4 linked regions of the Drosophila melanogaster genome follow. The protein of the gene in region 1 interacts with the protein of each later gene in a pairwise test. Each region holds a gene or a part of one and is shown on either strand. Other genes may lie near its edges.

Region 1 (7,274 bases):
GGTTGGCTCTCTCGCTCTTTTCGCTTTTTCGGCCTGTTTAAGCGATTTAACGCATCGCAAGGATAATGAAATTTTGATTATGCGCCGCTTGGCTGGTTGTCCTGGCACAGTGCCGCCCTCTGTGGGGCGGATTGCTGGCTGGGTCGCTATGAAATTAGCGTCGTTTAGGAGGTCCTTTGAAAATTGGGGAACGGAATTAAATTCGGCGAGCTGCTAATTATCGTTGGAAAAGGATGTTTGTGCAGCTGTATCTCTTTCTGAGTTATTTAATTAGAAGAGTGCTTAAAATGTTAATGACTTAGTGCCTTTAGTTTGAATACGAGTAAAAGAAACTATTAAATTTGATCATTCCATTAATAAAACAGAATCTAGCGCTGTTCTCGTTTCCAGCTGGTATAATAAACAATTTGCCGACTGGGTAATTGCTCACTCTCGGATACAAACAATTATGCAATTCAATTCGGAATTAATTGCACAATAAAACACCAAATTCTCATTTAATTGCCTGACAAAAAAGGCACACAAAGCAAAGCGGCAACCCACATAAATATGCAACACCCACACACAAACACACACACCCACTCAATCATGGCCAACTACATATATACGTCCAAATAGCCCCACCTCTCATTCCGCAGCCATAGCTTCTACAATCAAACTGGAATCGGAATCGGTCGGCGGGATATATAAATTCGAAAAATTATGAAAAACTATCAAAACATTTACATACGCTCGTTGCGGGGAAGGAAAGTGAGGAAAACGACGTGATCTTTTCGATCCACGCACTTAGTGTTGGGCAGCAGGCTTTTTATTAGCCAAACCTAGCTAGTTTTCAATATGTTTCAGTTAAAAGTTTTCAAAAATTAACAGAATCTGTTCTAAAGCATATTTCTGAAGTTATTTCAAAGTGAACATAATATTTCTTGTTTGTTGTTTCACTGCAAGACATAACAACTTTATTGGGCAAACATAAATTGCACATTTCTAGTCACATAAGGTGAATATTTTTTTAATATATTTTTTAATATTTTATTAGCTAGTTTTTAAAATCTATCGCAGTCATCACTGCACGCACGCAAATCGGCGGCCATTTATCAAATGACCAACTTGGCCGAAGCGTGGACTTTGTTGGTGCTTTTGTTATTGGCCGACTTGCTGCTGCTTTTGCCGGTTTCGTTTCATCTCGAAGTGGTGGGATCGAGAATAGGTGGGGGGAGTGGAGGGGGCTGGAGCTCGCTTATGATGTTTATTGAAAAATTAATTTGCGCCTCGTTGTTGTATTGCTTTTTTTCGGCGCTCATTTGCGTATTTCAAAGCGCAATGAATAATGATGGTGGTTAAGTAGTGGAAAATAAAAGAAGAAACGCTCGACGTGCTTGGCCTGAGAAATTAATATTTGTAATTGGCTATAATTGTTTATGCCAACGGCACAAAGTATAGAAAACGAGACGCAGACAATGATATTAACGAGCTGAGGGGCCTCTCATCGCATTTTGCCGCCATTTCGAAATGTTTAATTGAAAAGAAAGCGGAATTGCCGGGCATCGTAATGAAGAGCTCAAGTTTTGGGAAGTTGGAAAAATTTTAATCAGTCAAGAGGGGCGTTGGAAAAGTGGTAAGAGGTATATCAAGTGTTAATTGAATGGCTGGGAAATGTGAGAAGTTCATAAACGAGTTTACTGTCTTGGTTTCTTTTAAGTGTAATTAAAAACGATTTCGGAAAGAGTTTGAAAAAAGTTCAGAAATTATATAAAAATATTTCTAAATTTCACCCAACCCATTTAGGCAAGAACTCAAATTAATTGGCTAGAATTTCCCCAATCATGCAGAGTCGTTTCATTTTCAGCATCGTTTGCAACTAATTAAGGCAACCACACAGCCATTCGTCAACTGTTCTAATTGAGCTCTTTATTTTCCACCCACTGGCAATTGTCATTAAAATCCTTTCACCAACTTGCCGCCCGAAAAGCCGAGCGAACCCGCACAATCCGACGCCCATTTCCCATTTTCACAACTTGGTCCTTCGAGCAGCGGAAAACAAAGGAGCAGCTGAACAATGGCTGGCAAAAGTTTTCAAGCCAACAATTTCACATAATAATCCTTAAAATGAGTTTAATTTGTAGAGCGAGAATTATAAAGGGTGCGGTATTCCCGCTCCCTCCCTCACTCCACCCGCCAACCTTGCAATTTATGGAGCTTATGGGGGTTGGCAAAATTCTATATAATCCTGCATATTTCACATTTATATGTATGTGATTGATTCGGCCGGGTTCCCGGGACGTTCGATTTATGTGGACCGATCCGATTTTTATGGCTTATCTCCTGAGGTGGAGCAAAAGGGAAGAAAAAACATAATTTCCTGACCGAGATTGCAGCTTTGCGATAATGCCGCTCCACCCGACATTTGATGCTTTTGGGGCCCTGATAATGATGGGCTTATTATTTATTATATTGTTCTTGTACGCTAAGGACATGTAGGAGTGCCAATTAAAATTGAAAAACCGCCTGGTCTATATATACATACATATATATGTACATATTAGGCGTACATAAAGCTTAAAAAATCACGCCAATTTGGCCAAATGAAGTCATAAACGATAAAGAGGGAGATAGAGGGAAAATGGAGATGGAAGGAAAAGCCAGAAAACCAAAGTGGAAATGGACAGGCGTTTGCCGCCGCTGCTTGTTATAAAATGCTAATACGCGCAGCAGCTCGAAAAAAAAGTGGAAAAACGCTTTGAAGATTGAATTATTCAATAATAATTAGGCGTGCGACAGGGACGGCTATACTGCGGGGCAGCTACACCATCTCTGTCTGTACGGCAAGAGTGCGGCAAACTCACCACACTGAAGCGAGAGCGAAAGAGAAAAGAAGGCGGAACAAAAGTCAGAAAAGTGGAGAAATACAAGACTCACACCGGAAAAAAAGAGCGAGCGAGCTAGTCTCGAAACCAATAAAAATGGTGTCGCACGCGGTGCACTCCACCACGGGAGTGAGAGAGAGGCACGCTCTACACAGCCGGTTTCCCACCACCAATCGTCGAGTGCGTCGGTGTGAGTGAGTATCTGTGTGGCAGGCAGCGGTGCATCCGAAACTGCGACCACAGTTTCAGTCGCAGAACAGACGTGATCTCAAGAGGACGTGTCTCTCTCTGGAAATAAATAGCCCCTGAAAAGATACAAAACGCCGCGTGTGACAGTGTGTGTCTGTGTTTCCCAAGCGTGTGACGAACGAGCGCATTAATTGAAAGATAATCAAAACAAATTAACAGCAGACCATGTCTCAATGAACCAATTAACCGGCGCACCTAAAGCACAGTATTAACGAGCCACAGTTACACAAACGATCGAAAGGCTTTATGTTAAAGCTCAGCCCAGCGAGCATGACAGTTACAGGTCTGCGCCAGACGATGACCAGTCCCACGGTGCCGCCGAGCAGTAACACTCCCGCGGGTAACCTCATCATCACCAGCAGCAGTAGCAACAGCGGCAGCAACAGCGGCAGCAACATGAGCAGCGGCAACATGACCAGCAGCAACCTGACCAACCTGAGTCCTAGCCACCCGGCTGGCCTGAATGCCCTGGCCAGTCCCACCTCGCCGTCGGCACTGCTGCTGGCCCATCAGCAGCATCTGCTGCAGCAGCACCAGCAACACCAGCAGCAGCAGCAACAGCAGCAGCAGGCGGCGGCGCTCCAGCTGGCCGCAGTGCATCCGCCGGCCCACCATCTGCACAAGACCACCTCCCGACTGAGCAACTTTAGTGTGGCCTCTCTCCTGGCGGACACGAGGCCCAGAACGCCACCCAACCAGGCGGCGGATGGACCCCAGAACCTGACCAGTTCGGCGGCCACCTCGCCCATCTCCCAGGCCAGCAGCACGCCGCCGCCTCCGCCGGCCAGTGCGGCCGCCCAAGTTCCCGCCAACACCTTCCATCCCGCCGCCGTCGCGCACCACGCCCACTTGCTGCAGGCCGCCCACGCGGCTGCGGCGGCACATGCCCAGCACCAGGCGATGGCCGCCCAGCTGCGCCAACAGCAGCAGCAGGCGGACGCCCGGGCCAACTCGCCACCCGCCTCCACGAGTTCCACGCCCAGCTCCACGCCACTGGGATCCGCACTGGGATCGCAGGGCAATGTGGCCTCCACTCCCGCCAAAAATGAACGCCATTCGCCGCTGGGCAGCCACACGGACTCCGAGCTGGAGTACGACGAGGAGATGCTGCAGGACCACGAGGCCGATCACGACGAGGAGGAGGACTCCATTGTGGATATCGAGGACATGAACGCCGACGACTCGCCGCGCTCCACGCCCGACGGCCTCGACGGCAGCGGCAAGTCGCTGGAATCGCCGCACGGTCCGCCGCCGGGCTCTCACATGCAATCCACGATACTTTCCCCGGCGGCCCTGGCCTCCGGTCATGTGCCCATCCGCCCGACCCCCTTCAGTGCACTGGCCGCCGCGGCGGTGGCCTGGACGGGAATGGGCGGTGGAGTTCCGTGGCCAGGAACCAGACAAATGCCGCCCTTCGGACCGCCTGGCATGTTTCCGGGAGCAGGATTCGGTGGAGGTAAGTGTCGTTATCCAGTTCTTTGTGGGGTTTTTGTCAGCTTGTTTTCGGTTTTTGTACTTCCTAGAGGGGAAATGATAAACCTTATCTGTTACATGTGCTTAACTGTCCTGTCCTAAGCGATATTTTAAACTCATTTGCAATGGAGGATTCAGCATGGGCATAATTAAATAATGGGAAAATAAAAATATATATAGGAGAGAATATAGAACTCAAAAGGTTTACTTCAAAAAAAATAAAAACAACCTCAACTCTCTTTCGAAAATATTTTCAATTTAGAGCCTTAACATCAAAGTAAATATGAGTGTATATATAGTTACATTTCATATATTTATTTATAATTAACTGTAAACCCATAAACATGAACTTCTGAACCCGTGAACAATAGAAATACGCGAATTCCGCTTGGGAGCAAATTCCCCATTAGCAGCCAGCGATGTGTATTCAAAAACGATTTATTTAATGGAGGAATTTCAAACCACCCACCCCACCCCTCATTGTTTTATGCCCCATGTGCGGTGGCAACTTTATCTACACCATTTTGTGTCGCATTTTAATTCAATTAACTGCCGCCCCTCGCCTTAATTGGCATCGATGGTGACTCTCCGCTCCTGGTCGGACGCGAGCTGCGGGTGCTCCATCATGGCCACCTCGTCGTCATCGTCATCATGGCTATGGAATGGAAGTGATCGTGACTGCAGTTTGTAGTCAAAGTGCGTGGCAATTATTGCGGGGCCTTAAATAAAACAATGAAAACTGCCTGATTGCGCTGGGCCCATTATTTGATGATGATGATGATGATGATGGCTGATGGCTGATGATAGTCGCGTCGGTTCTGATTTGACTCAATTGGCCACGTCTGATTATTCATTGCACTCGCTGGCCAGCGGCGTTTTTCGGTGTTTTCCGGTCTGACAGCCAGCCAGCCCCCCATTACCGTTCCCGAATTGGAAAATCTAATAATAAGCGCGTAAAAAGCGGACTGTCTAACCGACCAGCCAGACTAATTGAAGCGAGTCTGGCTGTTTAACTGGGCGATCTCTATCTGCATGCACAGTTCACACTTTGCCTGCATTTCCTGGACAAAAAGCACCGCGGGTCGTAGGGAAAAACTGGTGGAAAATCGGGGAAAACACTCGACAAGTCACACTTTGATGCCGGACTGACATGTGAACTTTACTCGGCCATCGCGAACTCTGCGTTTCCGCTCCTTAAAGTTGCTCAAACACATTCGAAAAACTCGGAAAGGGCGGTGCAAAAACGGTGGGCAAAAAAGTGTAAATTTGCTTTTTATATGCAGAACAGCAACTATTGTTCCTGTTTTTGCTGCATATGCTCGGGTTTTTCTTGCCACTACAAAGCATTGTTTTATAAAGCTGTCGGCTGTGTTTTGAAAAAAAGGGCTTCAAATGGGGTGTTGTATTAGGAAATTTGGGCTTTAAAGTAGGTTAGTTCGAGTATTACCATATTACCGCCTCATTCAAACTATTAATACATGAAATTCCAGAACTGCATCTCTAAAAGTGCTTTCATAAATTCCAAAATATTTCAAAAGGGAACTGTTCAACAAATCGATATAAATCAATCTCGATGTGGGCCATCAATTCACCGCCCTTCATCAACCACTTGAGCTATCTTTCGTTCCTTCCCTATAAAGATGCCGAGATGAATAAACTATTCCAAACATTTGCCGCTTATTTTGTCATTTGGCTGTCAACTGCTGCATGTGTATAAAATACAGTCGAACAACTTCATTTCATTTCATTTCGTTTCGTTTCGTATCATTTGGCAGCTGTTTTTTTATTTTGTGTTGTTTTCTGGCCCTCAGTCTCGGTTTCAGTTTCTGGTTCCTGTGTTCAGCGTGTCTCATTAGCGCAGCAGGTTGCTGTCTTCTGTGGACTGATGATCCCCTGTTTTTCCGGAGGGTTTCCCTTCTGACCTGCGCCGCTATCTTCTGCGGCATTATGTCAAGTGTTAGGTACTTAGTGCCTTCGGCAAATGCTTAACTGGTAGATACAGGTTGTATCTTTTGGCTACCGTTTGTCGGCTACTTCATGGACTATTAAATTAAGCTACCATCGATTAGAGGGAACACACACACACACACACATAGTCAGTCGGCTTGAAGTTGTATGGTTTTTTGCCCTGCCATTTGATTAGCATCTTCGTGTTGCAATATGGGGAATTCCCTTTGTGCCTTCATAATTTAACTAATTGCAAGCGCAGTCGAGTCACGTATGCTGCACATGCCACCCATTTTTGCCCCCTTTAACCCCTCGACGGCCCCTGTTACTCAGCCACCACGCATTGCAGCTGCAATTCTTGGCAGCCATTATAGAAATTAATTTTCAAGCTGAACAAACGAGCAACAACTTGGGAGTCATTGCATAAATACATAGAGCCAGGCACACACACACATGCACACTATGCTTTATGGCAAGAGAGCGAAAGAGAGAGGGCGAGAAAACCTGGCCAAAACGGTGGGTGTGGCATGTCAGCAACGCCCACCCAAAACACGCAATTTTCAACAGCAACGGCAGCAATTTAAACGTTGACAGACGGCTGCTGGTTGGCGAAAAGCGAGAAGAGGGTTAAGGAAGACCCGGTGCTGTCGATAAGTGGGCAGCGAGGGGTTAAGGGGGCCGTTTGCATGCGTTTTAACACCATTTGCAAGGCTCCAAGCCGAAAGAGTCAAAAGCTAAAAT
Region 2 (7,192 bases), on another chromosome or scaffold:
GGGGAGTTGGGGCGAATTTTCGTTTATTTTTTTCCGCAGCAAAATCAAAGCCTAAATAGCAATCAAAAAGAGCAAAAATTCCTTAAATTAAACTCACGAACTGGCGGGCGCAACGATGCGAAAATGATACATGCATTAAGGCCCAGCCAAGTTGACTTGGCCAAAACGAAGCGAATTTGGCTCGGCACATTTAGAATATCATCGCAGTGCAACTACTACGACCACAACAATAAATAATAGACAAAAGGCAGAGAGACAAAAGCAAGGAGTGCCGATTCCAAAGTCGACTTCGACGGAGACTGCGACTTTGGCTTGGCTTGGCTTGGCATGTCATGCTTAATACAGCCAATAAAACCGCCAGAGACAACAACAGCAACAATGGCAATCGAATCGCTTTGGAAGCAGCCCAAGAACAACAACCAAGGCACAGCAACAATATCGGCGATAGCAGCAACAACTAGGAGACTCCAACGCTAAGCTGTTTGCATGCACTTTTTGGGGCCACCAGCAGGTCAGCCAACAGCAGCAGCACCACTAGCCCCACTAGCACCACTGGAACCACCACCACCACCTCCACCTCTGCCACCACCATAATCGCCAAAGGAACAGCGACAGCACCATCGACAACAGCAAGAAAGCTGGCCGAAACAGTGGCTTAGAGTCCATATGATTTGGAGGCGGTTTCTAGAAAGCTTAATACGCCATGGAACTACTAAAACTCTGACCATTAACATCCACTAATGAGTAACGTGGATATTTCCATTTCTCATATTACAATGAAATGAATATAGAAATGCCACTAAAGCTGCTTTTAAGATTATAGATATAGATTATAACAAAAATAGATAAAGATCGGGAATAAACGGAGTAATAACTAGGAACACTACTCATTACCTCTAGTGGTAGTACCACATTATCCTAGAAACTACTTCTTTAATAGCCATGGAGAGGCATCATCCTTTTACGAGTGATCCACAGCCACTGTGCTGAATGCACATGGTGCCTGCCACAGACCAGTTCCACTTGCGTCGCTCCCAAATCCAACTACAATAATATATATGTACATGGGAAGCCACACCACAGAGCGGCACATTACAGCACACCGCACCCCGGAGCCACAATGGGCCGCAGTGTGAGCCGGACCCAGAGCCGCGAGACCCGGGCAAAAGCATTATGGGAAAAAATGTAGCCGAAAACGAAAGGAAGAGCCACTGCGCCCAGAAAGCCAAGTCGCTCGGCTCTGTCGCGGTCGACGCAGCAGTCGGCCGGCCGACTCAGCGATCTCACGTTTTGTCTGCGGCTTCCACATGGAGAGGCCCAAGTGCACAGCCCGCGATCTCCGGTTCGTACGCTAACAACAGTTAGAAAACGTGGCTTGGAACCTGTCTAAAAATAGCCACAGCGAATGCAGTCCAGCACACGAGCGGCCGACATGCCGACAAGCCGACAAGCCGAATGAAAACGAAACCTTAAACGCCAGAAGACGTCGCCGCCGCAAAGACGAGTCTGCGGATCCCGAAGATTTGGATTTGGGTTCGGGTGCCGAGCGCCAAGACTCTCACTCTCTGTGCAGTCGACGCTGGCAGCGCGGTCGACGCCGCGTCTTCGGGTTTACCGTTCTCTAGTCGTGTGTCGCCGATCTTGGGAGAGAAGATTTGTACTGGCTTTGCGTTATTATTGTTTTCCTCGTTGTTGTTTACGAGCTGCAAACGCCGGTGTCAATGGTAAAGTGCATTAATATTCCCGCTTTTCCGACGGCTCGCGGGGCGGGAAAATCGCTCGGATCGTGTTATTGCCAGTTATATCGGCCAAATGATTTGTGGCGCAGCTTATTTATATTTGGGGATGAGGAAAGAGTGATCTGGTTTATGAAGTGGCAGGATGGTATTTTGTTAAGTGGAAAAGCGAAATTGGCCTGGGATCTTGTGTGAAATCGATTTGTCTTAGCACTTGGAGTGAAATAGGGAATAAAAGCGGGTAACTGAGATAAATATAAAATCGTGATTTAAGTTGAAAGGAAAACCAGACTCATTTCTAGGCTAAAAGTCCGTTTTGCATATCAATTTCAATTTGAAATATTTATAGCATAATTATAAATTATATTATATAGCATAAATATAAACCAAATTCAAAAGTAGTAAATCACTATAAATAGAATATTGAATTCTTGCCATATGATACTTGTTATTCTTTTCGAAATTTCTATCTTCCTATTTAACATGATAGCTTTACTTTTCCACCCACGCTCACCATCATGGGATTGACTCACATAAACATATTCCTCGAAATCTGGTCCATTTTCCTTTGCTTTGAATACACCCACACACACGAGAGCAAGGAAGTCCTTTCCACCAAAACGACACCACAGAATGCCCACACAGACTTAGTACACTGAGAAGAATATGTAGTTTAAGACAAACAATAAAAAAACAAACAACATTAAAAACATGCTTTTTATAAATGCATTAGAGTACAGTCTACACATGGAAAAGAGATTGATATTTAAAGACAAGTGTGTAGATGATGTACAATGTGCATAAGGGAATATTCCTACAAATTGTACGTCCTTATATATCCTGAAATTAATAAACATGTTTCCTGTGTACGATAACTGAGAGAAACGGAAGTTTTGGCAGCAGGCGAGAAGTGGATACCCAGTGGGCGGTTGGAAAAGCGGAAAAGTGGGTGGCGGAGTGGTAAGCCGGAGCAGGTGAAACGGCACCAAGAGCCCCAATCAATCTCAGATGCGAGCAAAAGGGATGGCCAACGTCGGTTTTATGACGCACATAATTTCCGCTTCCGAACTGTCCCACTGGACTGCATTCGGAAAATCGGTCGCTGAAAATGGGTGGAGGGGATTTTCCGGCGCAGGCGCTCTGCCAACGACGTCATCGATTTTCCTCGCACGAGCTGCGCTCAGTTGTTGGCCCCAAATGACGTAATAGCCGGGCCGCAAAGGTAGGTCGTGTCCCGCTCGCTTGCCGTCGCCCCTCCCTCTCCATCGCACACTCACTCTCGCTCTCACTCGCTCTCGCGAGCGCAGCACGGCGCCAGCTGAGGCAGCGCTGTCGACGCGACGCGTTGAATATAGTCGCGTGTAACCGTAAAGATAAGTTCAGTCGCGTCACAGACGCCGCATTGTTAACAACTTTAGCCCAAACAGCCACCGCTCACGGAAAAGCCAATACAAAATATAGAACTTATATCGAGGCGAGCTCGATGGTTCTGAATTTCCGATCTTAAGTCAGCCAACTAAGACTTTAATCCACACAACTATATAAACATCGCGTTCAGTATTAACGAAACACAAAGCCAACATAGGTGTGAGTGCTCAAGAGTTAAACAATTGCAACAAGTTGTTGTTCTTTATCGATTCGTGCATTCGTTCTATGCGGAAACGGAAGCCGGTCGACAGCGCGGCGTATGCGTAATAACTTCCAACGGTTGACAACGCGGCGTATACTTCACCTTTACCTTTCTTAAGCGAACAATGCATATATTTCGGTGGGCAACGCTGCGTATGTTTGTTTAATCTATCTTACCCCGCTGCGAATGTGCAGTAAATTAATCTATAGTAATTCAAATTTCGTTTCATTTCTGAGAGACAAGACACAGATATTTTTGAACTGAAAGTTTTGCTAACATTTTAACGAGCACGTGAGCTGAAGAACAGTAGTAATTGTTTTTGTGTTGCCCATTGCGCGCGTGTGTGTATCAGTGTGTAAAGTGTAAGCAACGTCCTTGTGCCTCCCACTACTGCAACTACCACAACCGAATATATATGTATATGTATATAGAGACCCCAGTTGATATAGTATAGCGTGCGTAAGTCGTTACGTCGCTTACATCGTCACTTGGCCACTGCGCAAACGCCGGAAAAAAGGAAAGGCAACAAGAAAAAAGCCAAAAAAAAAAGGAGGCAAGTTCAAGTCTAAGGACACACAACAAAAACAACAGCCGGGCAAGGACAGAAAAATGAAGCCCGATAATAACTACTGCAATCAGAGCTACTGCGACAAAAGCTTCGGCCACTCCTGCCGCAGCCAAGAAAATTGAGGCAAAATCCCAGCCCAACTCGGAACAGTCGTGCTGGATCACCAGCGCCGCTCGGGGCGCCAAACAGGTGCCTATTTAGAAACCATATAGTGTGTGATCTGTGTTGTCCCGTCCTGTGTGCGTTTTATGTTTGTGTCCCATCATCACCATCAACATCATTGTTAATTTTGGGTTCTTTAACGGAGAATCGTGGTCTATGATGCGCGATCGGCTTGCCTCGCTGATTGTGGTGAAGCAAGAGGGCGGCAGCAACACGAGCATTAGCCACCACCAGGCAACGGCCATTAAGTGCGAGGCCTCACTGTACACCGAGAGCAGTTTGTTCCAGGAGATCAACAACAACTCCTGCTACAGACAGAACCTCAATGCCCCGACACACCAGCAGTCACACACATCACACCTGCAACACGCACAGCAGCACCAAACACACCAGCAACATCCCCTCTTGCCGCCGCCTCTGCCGACTCTGCCTTTGATTTACCCCTGCCGCAACCTCTTTCCCGACGGTTGCGATATCAATCACCTGGCCTGCTGCAGTTCCTCCAACTCCAACTCCAACTGCAACTCAGACTCGAACTCCACCTCCAGCTCACCCGGCAACAGCCACTTTTTTGCCAATGGAAACACATGTATGTATTTGGTTTTCCCTTTCGGCTTATCGGTGTTGGTGACTTTTTCGTTTTTTGTTTTTTTGTATTTTCCAAACTCAAACGCCGCTGTGGTGTTTTCTTCTAATTCGCTAATAGCACACGCGGCGTATACGCAATGTGCAGCGCGCATTGCCAAATCGGCCAAGAAGCTAACTGTTTGCTCAATCCGTTTGAGAAGGCAGGTCGGGAAAAAATCTGAAAAATGCAACTTGAATAAAAAAGGGGGCGTGGCTGGTGGGGGTAGGTTGGACAACGCACAATGACGACATAAATTTGCATGAAAACTGCTCAAAATGCATCATAAAAATGGTGAAAATATTAAGCTTCCATTCGCAAAATACGAGAGCAACCACAGTAGAGGTCAAGAAAATGAGGCAGAGAACTTTAAAAATTCTTGGATTATGATTCAAAAATGATTTAACAATTAAAAAGTTTAAGCATTTGGAGTACTATTAAAGGCAGCTCTAAAAATGTTCGGTATAGTTTTTTTTTAAGCACATCAGAATTAGTTTCAAGCTATCATTTGCATTAAAAATTGTATGCTATGAAATTTAGTGCATTAATAAAATTAATTGTATAGTTACATCAGAATTAGTTTCAAGCTATCATTTGCATTAAAAATTGTATGCTATGAAATTTAGTGCATTTGCATAAAATTAATTGAGGCAACTATACCGAACTGTAAAGACGGGCTTAAATCAATTACCACCACTTTGACCTTAGTTGTGTGTGCAGACCCGTCTTGGCTCTCGGTGAGCATGTGCTGCTGTTTTTGGTGTCGTACACATGTTTACCAGCGTCAGCAAAGCGCCGCAGTTTCAGCAGACGGCAGCGGACGCAGCCTGACGCAAAATGATTTACAAGCTGCACAATAAACACCGCACACAGATGCAGTGCGTCCGATTTCCACACAGATACTCACTATCGACGGCTAGGGATGGCCAATGCATTTTTATTAATAACCGCATAAAAAAAACATCGCCGATTGAAGCTCAAGCATGGGAAAGATAGATCGATCATTTCATTGCCGAGTGGGTGGTTGGTTCGGTGGGTGGTGTTAGGGCGCCCGGCGGTGGGGCATCCGATTATTGGGCTTACTAAACGGCTTGAAAGGCTTTGCCAATTCATTCGCTGCGGCAAAGTCGGTTAGCCACTTGTTAGCCGCTTCTTAAGCGACTGTATTTTGCGGCTAACTTAGCGCCCATTAAGTGTTTCCCAGCAATCAGCTTTTAAGCACTCTGCGGTTAGCGTTTTCAACTGCAAGTGGGCCATGTGAGCCTTCAATTCACAGGAATCTACTATATGCACATTCTAAATTGATTTAATTGTCAATATTACAGAATGATTATCATGCGCTACATATGGATAGGTATCCTTTCGATAGTCTTCGGATAGGTTTTTTGAAACAACTACCCAAGTAGAAAATTAGTTTCTATGGTGAAATGCAGTTAAACACTAAACCGAGGGTTGCCAATCGATTGCAGAAGTGAAAATGCAGGGCGAAATGCACTAGACTCAGTTGACTATTAGACGTGGCAAAACAAACATCTATATTTATAAGTTGGCTATATAGTACCATAATGGCGATGGGCGCCAAAAGTGCCCGACATCGGATGACAAACCAGAGCAAAACAAATCGCCGAAGAACATATGACCAGGTGAGGTGCATCCACTAGTTGTGGTATATAGTATTTAAGCCATGACGCCAGCGGGGCCATGAAATCGGCCAGTTTAACGGATTAGGCGGCACACAGTTTTCACATTACGGGTGTTTTCCCGAGGCACGAGTGCTGAAAACGTCATCGTCGCGCCGAAAACGAAAATATATGACGAAACCGTGAAAAGATTGCACTCTCTTTGCGTCAGCTGCATCCCTAAATGTGTATCTATTTATATATATATATATATATCTCATAATTGGTTCGATTTTATTTTCATTATATTTATGGCTGGCCACGTGCTGATGACGTCTTATTTCGGGGATGAGTTGGCTGTATGCCTGCAGTATTATCACAAGTCAGCGTATTTCTTATTCCTACGACTAGTCACATTTCGATTTTGTTTTTAGTTGTGTTTTTGTTCGATGCTCACGGCGGGGCGTGTGAAAACACTGTTGCTTTTACTCTTTTCTTTCCGATTTGCCTTGATTGCTCATACGCCCCGTTCAACATGGCAACATCTCTTGGGCGTAGCCAATTGCATTTCAACATGGCCCAAAGCGACCCGGCAAAAGGTCCGCCCGAGCCGCACATATATAGACGTTCGATGCACTTGGCCAGGGATCGAGATGATCGCGGCTTCCCTTACTGATTAACCCCAGCGAAACGAGCTTGATAAATGATGCAAAACACAAAATACCTAACTACTCACATATCTATGACACCCGAAAAAATTTAGATACAAAATATATCGTAGCCCCTTCATTGTGTAGTTATTCACGATCCGTCGTGCGTTGTGAGTTATCTCCGCGGCAGCTGTCGGGATGG
Region 3 (10,503 bases), on another chromosome or scaffold:
CAATAACCGACGTTCTTTGTTTTTATATTTGTTTCTTTTTCTTTTTCATCTCTTGTTTTGTTCGATTCTCGTGGCCATGAAACGGGCTTCGATGGGCACATCACGCAACTTTCTCCGCGAGAACCGGATGATGGTGAGCCAGGCGTCTCCAAACTACCAGATGCCCACCGCCTCGTCCATGGCCAGATGCTGCGGACCAGTGAGGTTACTTTTGGCCGCTACTCAGAGGGGCTTGAATGGCGGAACAGGGCCAAAAGTTGTTCCCAGTCAACGGAAGCTATCCGAGAAGCAGATTCAAACGGAGGACATCAGCGATGAGCGGTTTCTCAGTGCCGCCCTGCTCAAGTGCTCGGAGAAGACTCATACCCACTTGCAATCCCGCAGCGAGGGCGACGATCCTGCGGACGGCAGGGGAGGACAGTTTCTGGACGAAAGGCTACGACTGCGACGGACTGCGTCCAATTTTGAGTTGGGCAAAATGCCGGAACAACGCGATGGCTATCAGCCGGGGCAATGCACAATGCACCGGCCGTTAGCTAACACGTTCGGCATTTTGCCCGGCGGTTTAAATTACCTGGACAATTGTGTCTCTTCCAGCCGAAAACAGGATGATGAGGCATCGATCTGCTCGCAATCCATCAAGGCAAGTTCTCCAAGGGTCCGCCAAATGGACATTCCCGAGGTGGTGGATGTTAACCCAGACGATATACTAAGCTTACACTCGCAAGAGTCCTGTGCAGAGCTACCAGTTGTAGAGGTCCAGCGGAATGAAGCGGAAGTCCAACTACCGGAGAATTCTCAAACGGATTCACCTGAGGAATCCCAACCTATTCTGCTAACCAGTGAGCAGAGAATGGTGCTAATGGATGCCGTCCGTAAGCGGCAAAATCAATTGATTGCGGAATACAACCGATTGCCACTTACCGTGGGCACATTGCGAGTCCGGAATCTCAAGAGACAACTGGAGCAGCAATTGGATGTGTTGGACTACGATCTCAGCAGGCTATCACTGACGAATGTGTATTTGAAGCCAGAGTCACAATTTGGAACAATCGCTTATCAAAAATTGCCAACAAATATAAATGCTTAGCTAAAACGAATTATTCTCAATATTGCTTGCAAAGAATTCTAAAGGTTCTTGAGTTTTTCAACCCACTTCAAGTTGATAGGTGAAATCTTTGGGAAAGGTGATACAAGGCATAATTTTATTTATCTAATATTTTATTGTAAATAATATAGTAAAAAGTACCACTCTTTTCTAGAGTATAAATGTCTAAAAGTACAATATTTACCTTGGTACTGTTTTATCATAGCAACTAAGTCATTGGACGCCCTTGACATATTTATTGGTAGAAAGATAAAAATTGGCAACATGTTATTTGGGAAGATATCAACCACAAGTGTAACGATAAGAGTTTCGCAATGAGGCTTGAAAATTGCCATAAATAGGGATCGCCAAACCTCATCTCTATCAATAAAGTGAACCAACTGAATAGCACCATGTCATTTAAACTATCTTTGCATTGTCTGCTGATCCTGGCAGGATATCTCACTTCAATTGAAGCCGAAGTTTTCCCGCAGTGCGCAAATGCTCCATTGGATACCTTTGTCATGGCCATCGAAGATTGCGCTTCATACATCTATTGCAATGGAGAAGACTCCTTCCGAGACAGCTGCCCCGAGTCCACCTACTTTGACGATCGAACCCAAGAGTGTGCCTTTGATGATGAGGGTGTGTGTCTAAGGAACTCAGACTCAGTCCAGACTGAGGAGCAGCCCGATAAGCAAACTACTGGTGAGGAGCAGAGCGGGATCGAAGAAACCACTCCCGTTCCAACACCGCCTTCTGATTACGCCTCTACAGGATCTGCGGACTCTTCTACTTTCCAAGCTGATTCTACAACAACCCCTACAGAATCAATTCCTTCAGTGACTGAGCCACCGACTACATCTGCTACGCCATCCTCCCCATCTGCAAAGCCTTCCTCTCCAGCTCAGGAAAGGCCGCACTGCGACATTTCCGGAGATGGTGACCATCCTCATCCCCAGCGGTGCGAGTACTACTACAGGTGCCTCAGCGGCTATCTGACCATTGTGAGATGTCCTTACAAGTATGGCTGGGACTTTCCTACAAAGCAATGCAAGCCTAGCAGCGAGGCTCAGTGCTTTAGTTATAGCTACTAGATTTATCTTTAGAAGCTCAACTTTGATCTAAATAAATTAGATTAGATTAGGCGATCTGTAGGTTGATTTCAAATCATTTTATTAACTTTTATACATTTATTTATATGTTCTTAAGATGAGGCTTTAACTTTGATCATAATCAAAAATAAATGAATAATTTCCTGTATGCACTTTATTTTTCTTTCTTAGAGTGTACATAGCAATCACGTGTGCATTTGCATTGTCAGTCAACTAGATAGTTGTTAGTGGTACTTTGACATTTAACGTACGTTTTATGTAAGGAATTATCCTTGAGTGAAGGGCTTATATACACATTGAGCTATTTACAGCCTCCAAGCTACGCGGCTGCTAACCCAAATCGAGGTGCGCACAGATGACAATAATAAATAAGTATTTGTGGCATTTTAATGAATTGAAAAGTGCATAATGAAGGTGCTGGGTGCCCGATGACCAACGGCGTCTCCATCTGGCGGTTCCATTTGTATTTGTCAGGCATAATTCACAAATCCAACGCGCAGGTATATGAATTTATTTTCGGCGGGCAATTTTCAAACGGCGGCAACTGCTGTCGCCGCTTCCACATTTTATTGCAAATTAATAATGCACACGATCCCGCAACAGTAGCAGCCGCCGCTGCACCAACAAATTCCTCCGCCTGTCGGCCAGTCGTGTCAATTGTGTCTAGTGGCGGAGTGGTCGCAGTTCCTGATTATGATGATGATGATGATGATGCCCTCATGATGATTTGCCACTGGCAAATGTTTTGATTAACTAACTGCGGGGCAGCCAATTAATTTTTGGCCAAGAGGCTTCACACTGATCGCGAGTACAAAACCGCTGAGATTTCTCTTCGCTGCGCCGATGCGGCCTGCTCATTAATTAAAGAACATGGAATCGGGCGACAAACGGATCCGCCCGACATGCTGAGAGCCAAATTCGAATCCGCTAAACAAATGGCAACAGCAGCAGCAACAACATTTGGGCCAACAGCAACACCAACAAGCAACAGCAGCAGCTACAACACCAACAACAGCAACACAAGATAGAGGAAAATTGTCAAGAGATGGACATTCGAAAAATAGAAAATCTCCAACTAAACCGAAAGAATTGAAACATTTTCGGATTTTTTCATTTCAGATGCGAGCAGCAAACGGTTAACAAAGGTGCACGCTTGTCCCGTCGCGAAAATCGCGAAAGGGAAAATTCGTAACGGACGCGGGGAAAATGGCATTAGCAAAATATGTGTGAAAAGCTAGAAAAAGAGAAAAATAAATAAAACAAAAATGTGAAGGATTCGTTTAACGAGAACCCAGTGATAAACATAGAACCGAGTGATTAAATTATTCAAGTAAATTGTGTAATGTCGCTGCGAGCACAAAAGGAGATCTTCAATGTGAAAGATAGATAAAAAACAAACTGCGTGTCATAAAAACACTACATAAAATAACATGAGTTGAGGGAAAATATTCAATTTGATGATCGCCACGAGCATCCCATTAGCATAAAAGAAGTCAATTCGAGATCCTCAACCATAAGGGTTAGCCATAGAGCTCTATTATTAGACTTCCCCAGGGGCAGATATGCTGGGCCACTGGATTATGCGTGATTCACATATACCGCTGATCGTGCGAATTCTATATTGAAATTCAAATACCTCTCGGAAAAAAACAGCGTTGACATCAAATTTATGTGCGCCACATTTCATGGAACAAATGAAAGTTAAACAACAATAACAAAGGCAACGCAGCGAAGGCTTAAGCATGATTTCATTTTCTATCCACTTCCCTCGACATTCTCAACGAGGCGTATGAGTGATTATGTGTAAAATATTACGCATCAACGAAATAGCTTCGAAATGAACCAAAGCTAAAGGCAAAGCCAAATCCAAATCGAAATGAAAACGATTGCGAGGTGCTTTGGAATGAATTGCCATGGATGACAAAAGGCAGGCACTTGGACAACAAATCAAAATAGACAGCATGGCGAGAGCGTTTAGCACAGATCTTTATTTTTTGGATGGCTATTTAAAACAACAGCCAGAGGACGGTACAGGAGAAGGAGGTGCCGAGCTGAAAGGCTGAAAAACTAATTTCGGAAAATCAAGTAAAAACTGAGCGAAATACCAAAGAGTTACGGAAAAGAAGGCTGCCTGACTGTCACGACAACACTTTCTTGTGTGAACGAGCGCCAAAAAGGCCGCGCCGCTCCTCCTCCGACCCTCCATCTCGAGTCGCCATCCACCCCAATCCCCATCCCTCCAATCCCATAGCCAGGCATCCATTGTACCCCATCAGGCATGGCATGGCAAGGCAACCTCCACCATCCATCGTCTCTCAATAGAGAAATGCTTAGATGCGATTCTCAGTCCCATGTGCACACATAATGGAATGAAGAAAATTCCGTCGTCCAACAATTGCACGCTGGGCTAGCTAAAGTGCAAAGAAAACCAAAAGACTCGGACTTGTCACTTCGCTGCGGATTTGCATTGGCCGGGCTGCCTGTTTTTGGGGGGCCTCCAATGGTCGTCGGTGCAGCAGCAGCAGCAGCAGCATAGACCGAGAAATCCCCAAAATCCCCCACATACCGACATACCCACCCCAGCTTCCTTGGACTAGCTTCTTATAAATAGCCCTCGGACAAAAGTGTGAACCGCCCGCCCGCCCAGTGCATCACATGCGATCCGAACAATGGAAATTGCCAAATTTATAGTGTACCCAGAAACCCACAGTGGCACTGCGATCAGATCGCCCAGGCCAGGCCAGCCAAGGAAAACTTATTTTATTTAAATAAATTTGGTTTAATTGCCAGCAAAGAACACAAATAACACTGGCCGTGTCTGTGCGTCTGTGTGTGTGCTGTTTTATTGTAATTCCGATTCGTCAACTGGGCACTCACCGAAACGGCCGAGTAAATCAGCCCGTTGACTTGGTCATCAAAACATAGAGGAGTACTCGACAATCCGGATACCTTGGAGGAGCTGGCAGCAATCTAAAGATGGATCAGGCTGTCATTAAATCAAATTATGCCGTTTCCCGGTCCCCAATGACAAACAACCTCCGCGACCCGCAAGATTGCGCATAACGGGGCGTATGAGTAATAAGCCAACTGCTACGACATAATACGTATACGCCTCGTGGTGCAGACGCTCTTCTAGGCGGCCAAGAAGAGCGGACACGAAAAGTGTGTGTGACAAAACGTTCAATAAATAAACAAACCGAAATGCAAACAAACAAATTATGAGAAACGAAAACAAAGAAGCCAAGTGGGCTGGGGCAAGGCGAATAGAATTTGTTTACCTCTCCGACATCCGACATCTTGCACATTCACTAATTGCATTTACCCCCTTACTTCCATTGCAGCTGGTCCATGTGATCCAAACCCAAATGAATTATGGAACATGTAAATAGCACTAATGCCAGACAACCGCAGCATCATCATTTTGATCAGCAGCTGCAGCACAATGACAGCCAACAGCAATTCTGCCTGCGATGGCATAACCATCAGGTGAGATCCTCCAGATAAAATTCATTTGAATTTTCATTTGTGGGGGGACTATATTCAACATTACCTCATAAGTAAGATCCATTAGAATGGACTGGACATCGTTCAGTGAAGCGAGCAGGCCGAAAGTAAAATGTCGCCGCATCTATATATAGGATCCATCTATCCAAACACATTCCCCTATACGTACAGATTCACACATAGTTTTCCGCATTTTCATATAGTGACAATTTTTGTGTTTCGGCCCAAAGGGTGTAATGCGGTGAAAGCGGGGCAGCGGTGAAACTGGCTGTCCAAAATAGCAAAACAGCCAAATGGACAAAGAGTAGTGAGGAGGAGTGTTCAGTGTGTGTGTCACATAAATGAACAGATTCGTGCAATTGCCAAAATCCAAAGAATTTCCACAGCGAGTAAATCGAAAAGTTGGAAAGCAGCTGCAGCCAACCCCTGTCCCCTGTTACACCGCAGACAGAGGAGCATCATGGGGCCCAGGAAATTGTATTTTTATGATCGTGTGACCCACTTATGAGCACTTTTCACATCCCCAACCCCATTCCCTCTGATCCCTTCCAGACAAGTTTGCTGAGCACTCTGCCCATTCTGCTGGACCAATCCCATCTGACGGATGTGACCATTTCGGCCGAGGGACGCCAACTGAGGGCCCATCGCGTGGTACTGAGTGCCTGCAGCAGCTTTTTTATGGACATCTTCCGGGCTCTAGAGGCCAGTAACCATCCAGTCATCATCATACCAGGGGCCAGCTTCGGCGCCATCGTCTCACTGCTCACCTTCATGTACTCCGGAGAGGTGAATGTATACGAGGAGCAGATACCGATGCTGCTCAACCTGGCCGAGACACTGGGCATCAAGGGACTGGCCGATGTCCAGAACAACAATGTGAGTAGCTCAAGTGCAAGATCTAGTTAGATAATTTAAATAAACTTGTAGTTTTTCCCTGAAACTCATACGCCTTTCTCTTTGGTCTCATAAATCCAAGCAGTTACCAAAAACAGCGAGAAGTGGAGGTGGCTCCTACATGGATACGACGAATGAGAAGTCCTCTGAGTTTGAACGTCCCACCACACCCTCGCCCACGCCCACCCCCACCCTTACGCCCTCCCACACGCCTACCCCAAGCCATTCACTCCCCCTGCCCCAGCTACCAAGTGCAGCACTTAACACCCCTCTCCTGGCCAACAAACTGGGATCGGTGAACTCCAGTGGAATGGGCACCACGCCCCTGGAGAATCTCTTTAAATCACTGCAGTTCTACCCCAGTCTGCTGCCCCAACCACTCAACTTCTCGCAGACGGCGCTCAACAAGACCACTGAGCTGTTGGCCAAGTATCAGCAGCAATGTCAGCTCTACCAGAGCGGGATGCAGGAGGATCAACTGGAGACGGACTGTTTTGGCTCCAAGAGGCTAAAGGGCGACAGTCCGCCGAAGGAGCTTAGGCGACTGGAAAAAAGCCTTTTAAAGAATCCAAAATCCTCATCGACGACCAACAGTAGCAGTAGCAAGTCGCCTCAGGAATGCTCCAACCCGAATCCCATTGTGGCCACTTCACCAGTAACTCTCGCTCCCCCGACCATGGCACACTTCTCCCCTCAGTTGCCGGTGGTCAAGTGCTCCTCGGCTAGTTACCCCAGCGCTCTCGGCCAAGGTCAACTCTATAGTAGCAAGCCACCACTTTATAGTGCAGCAGTCACGCCGACTGCCGCCCAGCAGGCGGCGCAGATGCACCACCACCCGCAACCCGGGCCATCGCCCTACATCTCGGCCGAGGATCATGCCAAGCTGCAGCTCCACATCGAACAGTATCAGCGGGAGGCGGCAGCAGCAGCGGCAGCGGCCGCCGGCGGAATGGCGCTGGTCAGCGCCAAGTCGGAGCCCAATCTGCTCTCGCTGAGCGCCGACCGCGACAAGTCGCTGGCCACCGCTCCCATCAAGCCGCCGTCCAACTCGAAGCTCTATGCCACCTGTTTCATCTGCCACAAGCAGCTGAGCAACCAATACAACCTGCGCGTCCACCTCGAAACCCATCAGAATGTTCGGTAAGTGGTCTGAATTTTAATTGTTATAAAACAATAGAAGTCACCTTTGGAATTACTTTTCGATTCCATCAGGTATGCCTGCAATGTCTGCTCCCATGTGTCCCGCAGCAAGGATGCCCTGCGCAAGCACGTTAGCTACCGACATCCTGGGGCGCCATCGCCATGTGAAAACGAGGCTCGCCGGAAGAGGGTCTCCAAGCTAGCAGCGACCACTGTGCCCACTTCCACGCCCATGTCCATGAGCGCCAGTCACACGGTCACCAGTGGCGATGTGGGTCCAGCTCCAGCGACCACACTTGGATGTTCGGGTCAGGAGGCAAGGAATCCGTACCTTTTCCTGCCCAATCAATTTCAGATGGCTGCTGCTGCAGCAGCCGTAGCAGTGGCCGAATCCTCGCCAGCTTCTGGTCAACCATCGCTAGACTTGGCACACGAAGCGCCACCGAGCATCAAAAGTGAGCGGGAGCCACCGACGGCGAGCAACGGAGAGGCGACCGGTGTAGAGGCATCGGCGTCAACCACCTGAGGATAATTTTTTTGAATATTTTTGATTTGTTCAACTCACCACACAAACACGCACACAGACACAAGGAGTACGCCCACCCATGCACACGCATATTGTTGGGTGACCGATGAGTGGTGGAAGGAAAGGGCTGATCCCTGACTCCAATTGTAAATCCGCTCAAGGGTGGTGGAATCTATTTCAATTTCAATGTTTCCGAACTTCGAATCCAATTTCAAAAATATTTAATCAGCAAGCGTAATCAAGCTTAATAATATCATTTTGAAAACACTTGCAAAACCATTTAAATTTGCATATTCAAAATGTTTTTTTGTATTGAAAGTATATTTAAAATATCTCAAGTTCAAACTTTGATTTTTGTAAGAAAGATTACGCTCTTCGTTATTTTTTGACATCTAGCCCCATTATTTTACCACTAAGTATGATCGGATTTTTTAACAATGTCAGAGGAGCCAATTTTCATCACCCACTCATGAGGTGCCCAACATATGAATATGTCAACTTTTAGTCCCACCGAAACCAACGTCTTAGACCCGGCTGTGATAATTAGCGCAATTCGTTTTTCGTCTTCTGCACTCGAGCGCCTTTCTAGCTATCTTAATTTATGTACTTACGTTTAGCACAATTTACGTTTATTTTTTCTGAAACTTTAGCAACCTCCGAGGCTCTCAAACTGCAAGTTACAAACACAATCCTTTCGCTTTCACGCTCTCTCACAAGCACACGTCCACACATTCTAGTAATCTAAGCCAAGTTTTTATAAATATTGTAATTATACACCTGAACACGCACACACACTTGCACACAAAAAGACAGGGTGAAGACCTACCAAACCAAAAAAAAAAAAAAACACAATTTTCAAAGGAATAAATGTTTAAGAAGCCAAAGAAATTGTGCGTGTTTAGCTAATTTTCCCGATCGCAACCAAATGGAGAAAAGTAATCGGCGAGCTATGCAAAAACTAGTATATTTCATTTCATAATACAATAATTTATGTACGCTGGCGTACTTTACATATCTTTGTGTTTCCTTTCGTAGTTCGTAGTTCCAGTAGTATAAAAATTGTTCGAAAAACACATACGAAAATGATAGTGGGGCAAAGTAGTTGAATATCCATGATATGATGATTAGCAAACACTTTTGGCTTAAAATTAAAGACATGACATGAGGTGTGCGGGGAGGGCGGGGAAAAAGACATAAATATCTAAATGTAAACTGTTGCACTTAAATGAAATGAAGCCAGGGCGCTGCTGGCTGCTCTCCCTGGATAAGTATAAAAATATGCTTCACGGCCGGCGCATTTAAATGTTTTCCACGTGCCACACCTTGGTGTTGCAGTCCTGTCCGGTGGAGATCACAGTGTTATTGTCCAGCCAGACCAACCGAGTGATTTGCGACTGCGGATGGGCATCTGGAGTGGGCAGAAAACAATATGTCAGATATCGCTTAAAGCTTACTACTCTTTTTGAAATACTTACTCTTGATGATAGTATGTTTGGCCGGATTGGCCACGGACCAGATAATGATAGTAGTGTCCAATGATCCACTAGCAACCAGCAGCGAGTTGGGCGACCAGGCCACCGTATTTACGCGAGCACTGTGGAAGCCCCACTCCTTGTTGTGTGCAGGCTTTTAAAATACACTCGATTAGTAATGGAATTAAGACATTTATGATTCCTTAATACCTTGTACTCCTCCACTGAGTAGAGCACCACCTTGCGATGGGCATCGCAAGCCACCAAATACTTCAAGTCCGGCGAATAAGAAACATCCGTGACAGCTCCCAAGTGATCCAGCTCCACTTTGGGCTCCAATACTCCGCCCTTCAGGGTGTAGATGTGCAACTTTTGGTCATCCCCGCCGACAGCAACATCGGAAGTGTCCGCATTAACGGCAATCGAGCTAGCCTCGTACTTAATGGGCAGCGAAAAGATCTTCTTCTGGTCCTGCACGAGAGTCAACTCTTTGATGCAAGCAAGTGCAATGATGTTCTCGTTGCGCAAAATGGCCAAGCCACGTGGCTGGCAGTTAAGCTTCACCACATAGTCCGTGTAGGAGTTGCCCTCCACGCTGAACTGGCGTAGGCTGTCGTCGATGCCACAGGTATAGACAAAGTCACCCCAGGCGGCAATGCCGTTGATCTGGTTTCCGTGTCCAGTGCCCGTGATGCGATCGTTGGTGCCGCTGCCCGAGTTCCAGTTGGTCACCACGCCATCGTGGCTACCCGTGTATATGGTGCT
Region 4 (8,056 bases), on another chromosome or scaffold:
GGTAGTCGCAGCGGGACACCCTCTGCACCCCATCCCCTTCATAGAGTACGGGATACATTTTTTAGGGATCCTGCTTAGTTCGCTTTCATACGGTTCTATTGAATTTATTGCAGTTTGTTTTTCAATTTTTTAAATGGCATTTTCGCCCTTCCGCGTTGGGAAGTGAGTTATGGTCTTGCTCGATGGCACGTAGATGCATTCAAATCGGAAGTAATTATGGTGAAACATAAGCGATATGAGGGAAAATAGCTGAATGGCTTATCAAGCGTGAACAATTTTGAAATCACTTTTCAATGAGGGTGATATTTGTAAAAAAAAAATATTAAAAAAAAAAAAACAAATAAAAAAGTAGCACATCAAGTCAAAGGCACTTGAACTAGCAGATGAGTCACAACGAATGCTCAGATGAAAACCAAATCTTTAGAGTAATTAATTTCATGGTAATATAATTCATATATTCCCATGCCAAACAGGGTAAAATATGTCGGCCAAGATAATAGCTTTTTTAAGACTACGCACAAGGATCTTCAGCAGCAAAATAAAGCAATTATCGTGGGTCGGTTTGGGAGTTCTTCTTTGTGCGTAAGTCAACTAAAAATCCGCAGACAGTTAAACGACTTTCCCTTACCAGTGGCAACCACTTCACGGATATATATATACCTTCATATTGCCGGAGATAATGTCAAATTTATTGCATTATTTTTCGCTCCTTTCGCCCGCCAGTTGCTCTGCATGCGTGCCACCCACTCTTGCCGCAGGCAAACCATCCACCACCCGCCGCCACCCACTGGTGTGCATAAATCAAAAGGTAAATGGCTGCATTTTTATGACTGCGCCGCCATCGTCGTCGTTCGCCTTTTGCGCTGCTTCGCTTTTATCACACAAACATTTCTGTGATAATAAATGCCATAAAAATGAAGAAATATGTGGTTAATTTTATGTGCTGCCTCTGCCATTCCGCCGCTTGTTGTTCTTGCTCTTGTTGTTGTAGTTGTTGTTGTGGCATCCAGTATACTTCCTTTTTATATTCCCCATATAAATGTTTTCGCGGCTACAAATTTTTCCCACTACATTTGGATATCTCTCGGCGCTTTCCTTTACAACTTTGGCGAAGATATCGAGAGTATTCGAATTCGAAACTCCTTATAGTTGCATAAAACGAGATTTTTAGTCTTAAAGGACTCTGATGCACTATATAACTAGAAGCTCAATATAGTTTTTTATTTCAGATCTTATTATTGTTAACCTAATAGAACTGCTGCATCTTTAACTGCGTACCTTGTAATTTAAATTACGCTTTTTTTTATATTTGTAATCTTCGCTACACGACCTCCTTTTGAATAAAATGAAGTTATCAACGCTGAAATGCTGCAGGGTGAGCATTAGTCTGAAAGCAAATCGCTTTAGTCACGGTATCAAGGTGTTCCGCACTTCCGCTTGGCAATTTCTTCGGCTTCGTGTAATTTATAATATTTTTGTATTATTTATATGACACCCCCGGCCACTGGTTTGAATTTACCTTCAGCCCACTCCCGCAATTTGCTAGTAAATAATTCACATACAGGAGCAGCGAATTTATGACGCTGACAAAGTGGCCATAAAAAATAACAAATAATAAGAGAAAATGCTATGGAACGTGTGCGTAAACTCTCCAACTCTGCAGCAGTATACATGCATATATACACGTATATACATTATTTTGGCAACACTTTTTTCGCTTTGTTGCACGCAAAACCGCAAATTATGTCTAAGCCGTATCGTAAAGTATCGCAGCACGCTCTTAACTAATAAATCCATCATTTCGCCGAAGGCCGAGAGTGTTTCCTCTACCTGTTTTAGCCTCGAAGGTATTTCGCTGCCGGGTTTCGGCTTAGGGATTCCCACAGAAAAATGTCTAAACACTCTAAATCGGGATTAAAAGTGTCGCTTCTGGGTTTTCGGCTTATCGTCCATATTTATACAGATTTTAATTTACTTGCCAGGGGCTTTGAAGGGTTCTTAAAACTCAGCTTGGTGATTAGGTAACATATCCCAAGGGCCAGATATTCCAAAATCCCCTCGGGGCTTGAGTTAAACATCTTGATACATAGTTTATGGTTAGTCCAACCGATTTGGTTGGGATTACGTTGGAGTTTTAATATCGGTTAGGTAAAGTGGCTAGAATGATCTAGATCAACAAAATCTAAATGATTAGTCACATAATATTTTCTAACTACTTAAATAATAGTAATCAATTATGTTTAGAAGGAGCTAGCCTATTATTAGCTCTTAATAATTTAATATAAATCAGCCTCGTTTTGCAATTAAACATTATTAGTATTCAGTAATTATCTTGAAACCAAGCAACGTGATTAACGCGATTTCGTGCGAAACGTAAATAAGTAAGTTAGGCAAGTGCTAACTGGAAAATTCAATCCAATTGTAGAGCGATTAAAAATGCAGCGGAGTTAACCAAACCATTAAACTATTACCAACTCTCTGAGTGCAACATGCCACAACACACATTCGCTTGTTTGATATGTGCAGATTAATTACACACACACCAAGGAAGGAGGAAAAATTGCTTGGAAAAACTTTTCGACGCGACAACAAAACAACGATTTCCACTTAAACAGCAAAACAGGAGCCACGAAAAAAAAGAGGGAAAACCAACCGCAGAAGTTAATCGAAAAACGCTAAACAAAGGCCACAACAACAGCTGTGCGAGTGAGCGGGTCAGAGGGAGAGAGGTGAAGTGCCAGAGCGGGAGAGCGACAAACAAATTAATTTTTATATGACATTAAAACGAGCGAAGCGAGGCGATGGAAATGGTTGAAGAGTGTGTTTAAGTGTTGAGTGGTTTGCTTTTCCGAGCAACAAATCTCGGTGCGAAGACAATGAGGCCTCTGCCGCGCCGCTGCCGCCACCACTGCAGCGCTGCTGCTGCTGACAGCCCCATCAAGAAAAAGTTCCCCCAGAGAGACACAGAGAGGGAGAGTGAGCGTGACATATGTGCCAAGATAAAATTAATGTGCCCCCCAAAGCAGCCACAACAACAACAACTCACTGAGCGGCGCTCTCAGCGCTCAACTGTTGCTCTCTGGACGAGTGTTGCCGTGGTGCAGCCATATTATTATGATTTTACAGGAAGCCAAATCGGAGAGCGAGAGAGAGAAAACCTGTCTTGGCTTCCATTGCAAGGCGCATGCGATTGTGATTGGACAAAAAGTACGCCATATTTGAAAATTACGCACAGTGCATCTCGCTCGCATGCAGCAGGCGGTGCTCCTCTAACGCAGGCAGCAAGCCAAAGTGTGCAGCGCTGCTCGCCGGAGAGCGCTCTCTCGCGAGTGAGCGAACGCTTCGCTGCGAGGGCAGTTACGCTCGCTGCCGCAGTCGTTGAATTCAATTCGAATTTTGACTTCGCAGCGTTCAGACGTGTTCGGAAAAACCTGAAAACCATTCGAGTGACAAGAGATATAACCAACAAAAATAAGAAACCTCAGTCAACTGTGGTCACTGATCGAGAGTGTTTCGTTTCGAGTGAAAAAGTGAAATCAGAGCCAAAACACAAATCGCTTGGCCAGCAAATTGAAATAGTGCTACAGAGATAAATTCTCTGCTCAAAACTACAAGTGTGTTAAATCGCCGATTTTCTTTGGATTTACCAACGTTTGCCGACGCATTTCTGTGGATTAACCTCATCGTCGCCGAAGCAAAGCTACGCATTTGTAGCCTTGTCTCGCAACTCACGTGGATTACCCTCGAGAAAACACACTAAGCAACTGATATGGTTGTCTTGGAAGGAGGCGGCGGCGTTGTTACCATCGGTAACAACCAGTACCTTCAACCGGATTATCTGGCCCCATTGCCAACGACGGTTAGTATTGACTAAGTTAAAAGCTGTAAAATTTTGGGATGGCCGTAAAATCTATGGTTTTAAATTTTGCGTACTTAAGAATTAAATTTGGAAAGTTCATAACATCAAACAATTTTTCAAATCTAAAAATTTATATCGTCATTAATACTTTCACGAACAAACTTTCTTTGGAAGAAATTGCATTTTCTCATAGTTTTAACTTCTCACCAAATTAAAATCAATATTATCTTAAAACTCGTAAAAAACTTTAAAATTACAAAAAACCTAATTCCAACTCCACATTTTCATTTTATTCATAACAGATGGACGCCAAAAAGAGTCCCTTGGCTCTGCTCGCACAGACTTGCTCCCAAATTGGAGCGGATTCGTCGGCAGTGAAACCCCTGCTGGCAATGGACAAGAACAAGACAAAGCCCGGAGCATGCTCCTCGTCGTCGAACTCGTCGAGTTCCTCGGGCAGTGCTGAGATCTCGGCAGCCAAGTCACCCTCCGGCCAGGCCAAATCGCCCAAGTCGAGCACTCCAATCAGCTCGACGGCAACCAGCGCAAGTCTGAGTAATACCAGCACCGGTGAAATCAAACTGGCCTTCAAGCCCTACGAGACCAATGTGCTGAGCCACCAGAACCAGAACTCCTTCAAGAGCAGCTCTTCGCTGGATGCGGAACCCACGCGTCCCAGCTCTAAGAACTCCTCATCCGCCCAGGAGCGTGTGCCATCGCGCAGCAAATCAAATGCCACGCCCACAGATGGCGGCAAGGCGGAGATTTCCGCGCACGATTCCTCATCCAGCCGAAAGACTGTCTCCCCGTCGGGATCGTCGCAACGCGGCGCCAGTCCCATTGTGCGCTCCGGCATGGAGGTGCTGAACAATGCCAACGGAACCGCCCAGCATCCCAAGGAAATGAGCAGCATGGCTGCGGCGGCAGCAGCAGCAGCAGCGGCTTACAAGGCCGCCGGACCCTATGGGCTGAATCCCCTGTCCGCCCTGTGCTGCCCGCCCGGAATGGAGCAGCACGCCAATCCCGCTTTCCGGCCACCGTTTGCCGGAGGATTCTCACACCATCACGCCGCCATGTTGGCAGTTGCCGCCAATGGAGGATATCCAGGCGGAGCTCCCGGCGGTGGACCAGCCGGACAGCCCAATCCGTACATAAGTTATCAGCGCATCAAGACACCAGCTGGCGGCGAGGCTATAGTGCCAGTCTGCAAGGATCCGTATTGCCAGGGATGTCCCTACTCGGCGCACACGCAACAAATGCTCATGGGTGCCCCCTGCCCCGCCGGATGCACCCAGTGCGAGCATCAGAAATACGGCCTGGCCATGGCCAGTGCCGCCGGACTGCCACCAGCTCATCCATACTCGCAGGCAGCGGCCGCTGCTGCGGCAAACGCGGCGGCAGCCCGTTCGGCACCCTACGTGTGCAGTTGGGTGGTGGGCGATGCCTACTGCGGCAAGCGATTCCAGACCTCCGACGAGCTCTTCTCCCACCTGCGCACCCATACGGGCAATCTCTCCGATCCGGCGGCTGCTGCGGCGGCCTTGGCCCAATCGCAGGCTCAATCCCTGCTGGGAACCCTATTTCCGCCATCGGCTCTCCGAGCTGGCTATCCAACACCACCACTGAGTCCCATGTCAGCGGCTGCGGCAGCGGCGAGGTATCATCCATACGCCAAGCCACCACCAGGCGCCTTGGCTGGAGGACCTTCGCCCTTCGGCGCCGCTGGAGCATTCAATCCTGCCGCGGCGGCTGCGGCAGCTGCTCTGGGACCCTACTACTCGCCATACGCCATGTACGGCCAGAGGATGGGAGCGGCTCATCAGTAAAGTGACTTCCACAAGAGTTAAATACCAAAAAAAAGGGGATTACGTTGAAGAGACAACCAGAGATATAGAATGAAACCATTTCCAAACCCTGTTTGAGATACTTTCATGGAAAACAAAAAAGATAAAAGCACAAAACGATTGCAAAGGCTGACACATCTCTGGCTTTTGCGCTATTCTGTGATACTAAACTGTAGTTTAAAGAGCGCTAGTTACACTTAAGTTTCGCAAACAGAAAATAATCAACCACCTAAAGAACAGTAGTAGCCGCAAAAATAGCAGGATCACTCTCTTCTATCATCGTAAATGTCTACATTGTTAGGTAAAAAGAAGTGCAGCCAACACGAAGTTCACTCACTCTTATTTGTTCTCAAAGTTCAACCAAAGTTTTTTAAGTCTTAGCCAGAACACATTCTACAACTTCCAATTTTGTTAATGAAGAACCCATTGCTGAGATGTTCAAACATTGTTTTAGTTTAACTTCGCTTTAAGTTCTATTAACTATTATTACGATTATCTGCAAGCATACAACAAACCAACAATTGAAATAATGTTCTTTAAGTCAACTTATATTTAAAGTAAGTGTAATGAATATTTGTAATACCAACCAATCAGAGATAAAAAATTAAAAAAAAATAATAATAATTACGAAAAATAAAAATGAATATTTCATATAATTATGTACTGTGTGTAAATTCTATAAATATAAACTAGATTTGCTATTTACTCCTTGATGTACGCAAACCACAATACGATCTACACAAGAAGCCACGGAATATCAAACAAAAATAACTTAAACTACATGCAACACATTCGTATAAAACTGAGAAATATACAAGAAAAAACAATTTTTAGAAGCATAAACCACGAATCTTTTCTTTTGAAACAAACTCTTTTACAGCTGGAAAACTTTTTGTTGGGCCATAATTTCGCTTCGGTTATCTGCGCTGTTTGGCTAGCTCACATATGGGTCATAAATATTGCTGATAATGCTCCACTAGGTTTTCAATTATATTTACATAAGGCTGAGTGGCAAATTCCGGAAACCATAACAAGGTCTAATTCTCTTAATTTTATAGTTCTTACTTAGAAATGGGACTAAAGGAGTTTTTAATTCTGAGAATTGAACTGCTTCTTATAAGTATCATTGATATTAAATGTAAGGTTCTAGGCAAATAAATAAATAAAATCTTATAGGTTATTCTTTAAAAATATTTTAATTAGTTTTATTTTAGACAAAAGGTATTTTAATGTGCTCTCAATTTTTTCTGGATGCACTCGAAGAAATCTGGGTTTCCCCATCTCACCTAACACATTTGAAATTCAAATTAGTACTATTAATTTGCATTGCTTGTTGCATTTTAAGCGCACTCAATTTGTATGCAGCGATTCGTATTCAGCCTAAAAAATCAAATCAAAAGCAAATTTCAATTTCACGAGGGGTGGGGTAAATAACTTGATTGGGCAAGCCTTAATAAAACAGTCGCCGGCAACAGTCATAAAACACCCAAGCTGAAAATTAAAAATCAATAAAAATCACATTTGTACCAACAATGTGTATAACAAAAATCAATTGCCATTCAATGAGCAACTCAAATGCATATATAAATGAATATGTGTGCATATGTACGTATGTATGTACATATAAAAAAATCGCTGACAAAGCGAAATGACTAACATTATTCACAAAAAATATGCTTCAGAAATATCAAAATCTGAAACCAACCAGACAACTCAAACTTAAGCAACAATCAGCCACAGCAACAATGAAAATCAATGGTGATATTTCGAGTGTATCTCATAAATAAATTAATTGTGACAATATTCAATTGATTCGATTTGAAATTATCGCATTCAACTGTCAAGCGATCAACGACAACGTTTTTTCAATTGTTTCAATTTCCAGCGGATTCTTTCAATGTCTGTTTTCATTCCCCCTTCAACCCACTTGAATGTTGTTTCTGATTTGATTTTGATTCGTTGCGAACACAGCCGTTTGGCCCCAATACAAATGTGGGAATATGATATTCCGCAGGGTCGGGGCTGCCAAGGGGTAGACTTATCAATACTCAGCAATCAGTGTTGTCAAATGAAGTGGCGAAGTGCGAGTTCTTGATTTCAGAATGCTGAGGGATTTCAATTTTGTAAAGCATTTCAAAGAAGTGGGAGTGCTCCAATGGTATGTTTTATATATTCAGCAAAACAATAATGCAATAAAAGAGCAGGAAATCAGAAATCAAATAAAATAAACCATGTATGCAAAAACCATTTATTGAAACGCCTCAGTAGGCTTAGTATAGAAAATTTAATATCTTCCTCTGTTTTCCCCGAACTTTGGATACTTTTAATCGTGTTTTGATTCCGTTGAAAGCTG

The links.
Region 2: the proteins of Dr (region 1) and Hr38 interact in a two-hybrid assay, tested with the Drosophila melanogaster proteins (one large-scale study listed by BioGRID).
Region 3: the proteins of Dr (region 1) and CG32121 interact in a two-hybrid assay, tested with the Drosophila melanogaster proteins (one large-scale study listed by BioGRID).
Region 4: the proteins of Dr (region 1) and noc interact in a two-hybrid assay, tested with the Drosophila melanogaster proteins (one large-scale study listed by BioGRID).

The regions. Positions count from the first base shown.
Region 1 is NT_033777.3:29,553,277-29,560,550, forward strand, and holds the start of Dr (drop), read left to right. Parts: upstream 1-3,109; 5' UTR 3,110-3,359; coding exon 3,360-4,569; intron 4,570-7,274. UniProt on the Drosophila melanogaster protein: Plays a key role in the specification of proneural and promuscular cluster formation. Required for the specification of dorsal and lateral muscle progenitor cells. Regulates development of peripheral nervous system derived from lateral neuroblasts.
Region 2 is NT_033779.5:20,710,530-20,717,721, reverse strand, and holds the start of Hr38 (hormone receptor-like in 38), read left to right. Parts: upstream 1-3,133; 5' UTR 3,134-4,252; coding exon 4,253-4,685; intron 4,686-5,421; exon of another isoform or gene 5,422-6,520; intron 6,521-6,715; exon of another isoform or gene 6,716-7,192. UniProt on the Drosophila melanogaster protein: Binds to NGFI-B response elements. Plays an important role in late stages of epidermal metamorphosis.
Region 3 is NT_037436.4:13,415,166-13,425,668, reverse strand, and holds CG32121 (uncharacterized protein), read left to right. Parts: upstream 1-3,332; 5' UTR 3,333-3,347; intron 3,348-5,543; 5' UTR 5,544-5,574; coding exon 5,575-5,688; intron 5,689-6,258; coding exon 6,259-6,582; intron 6,583-6,685; coding exon 6,686-7,740; intron 7,741-7,812; coding exon 7,813-8,266; 3' UTR 8,267-9,093; downstream 9,094-10,503. Other genes in the region: CG14106 (uncharacterized protein), read left to right, coding at 77-1,090; CG33263 (uncharacterized protein), read left to right, coding at 1,501-2,184; flr (flare), read right to left, coding at 9,565-9,674, 9,742-9,892, 9,949-10,503.
Region 4 is NT_033779.5:14,487,477-14,495,532, forward strand, and holds noc (no ocelli), read left to right. Parts: upstream 1-3,382; 5' UTR 3,383-3,769; coding exon 3,770-3,859; intron 3,860-4,161; coding exon 4,162-5,685; 3' UTR 5,686-6,543; downstream 6,544-8,056. UniProt on the Drosophila melanogaster protein: May negatively regulate Notch-induced cell proliferation in the eye-head primordium. Required for development of the supraesophageal ganglion and ocelli.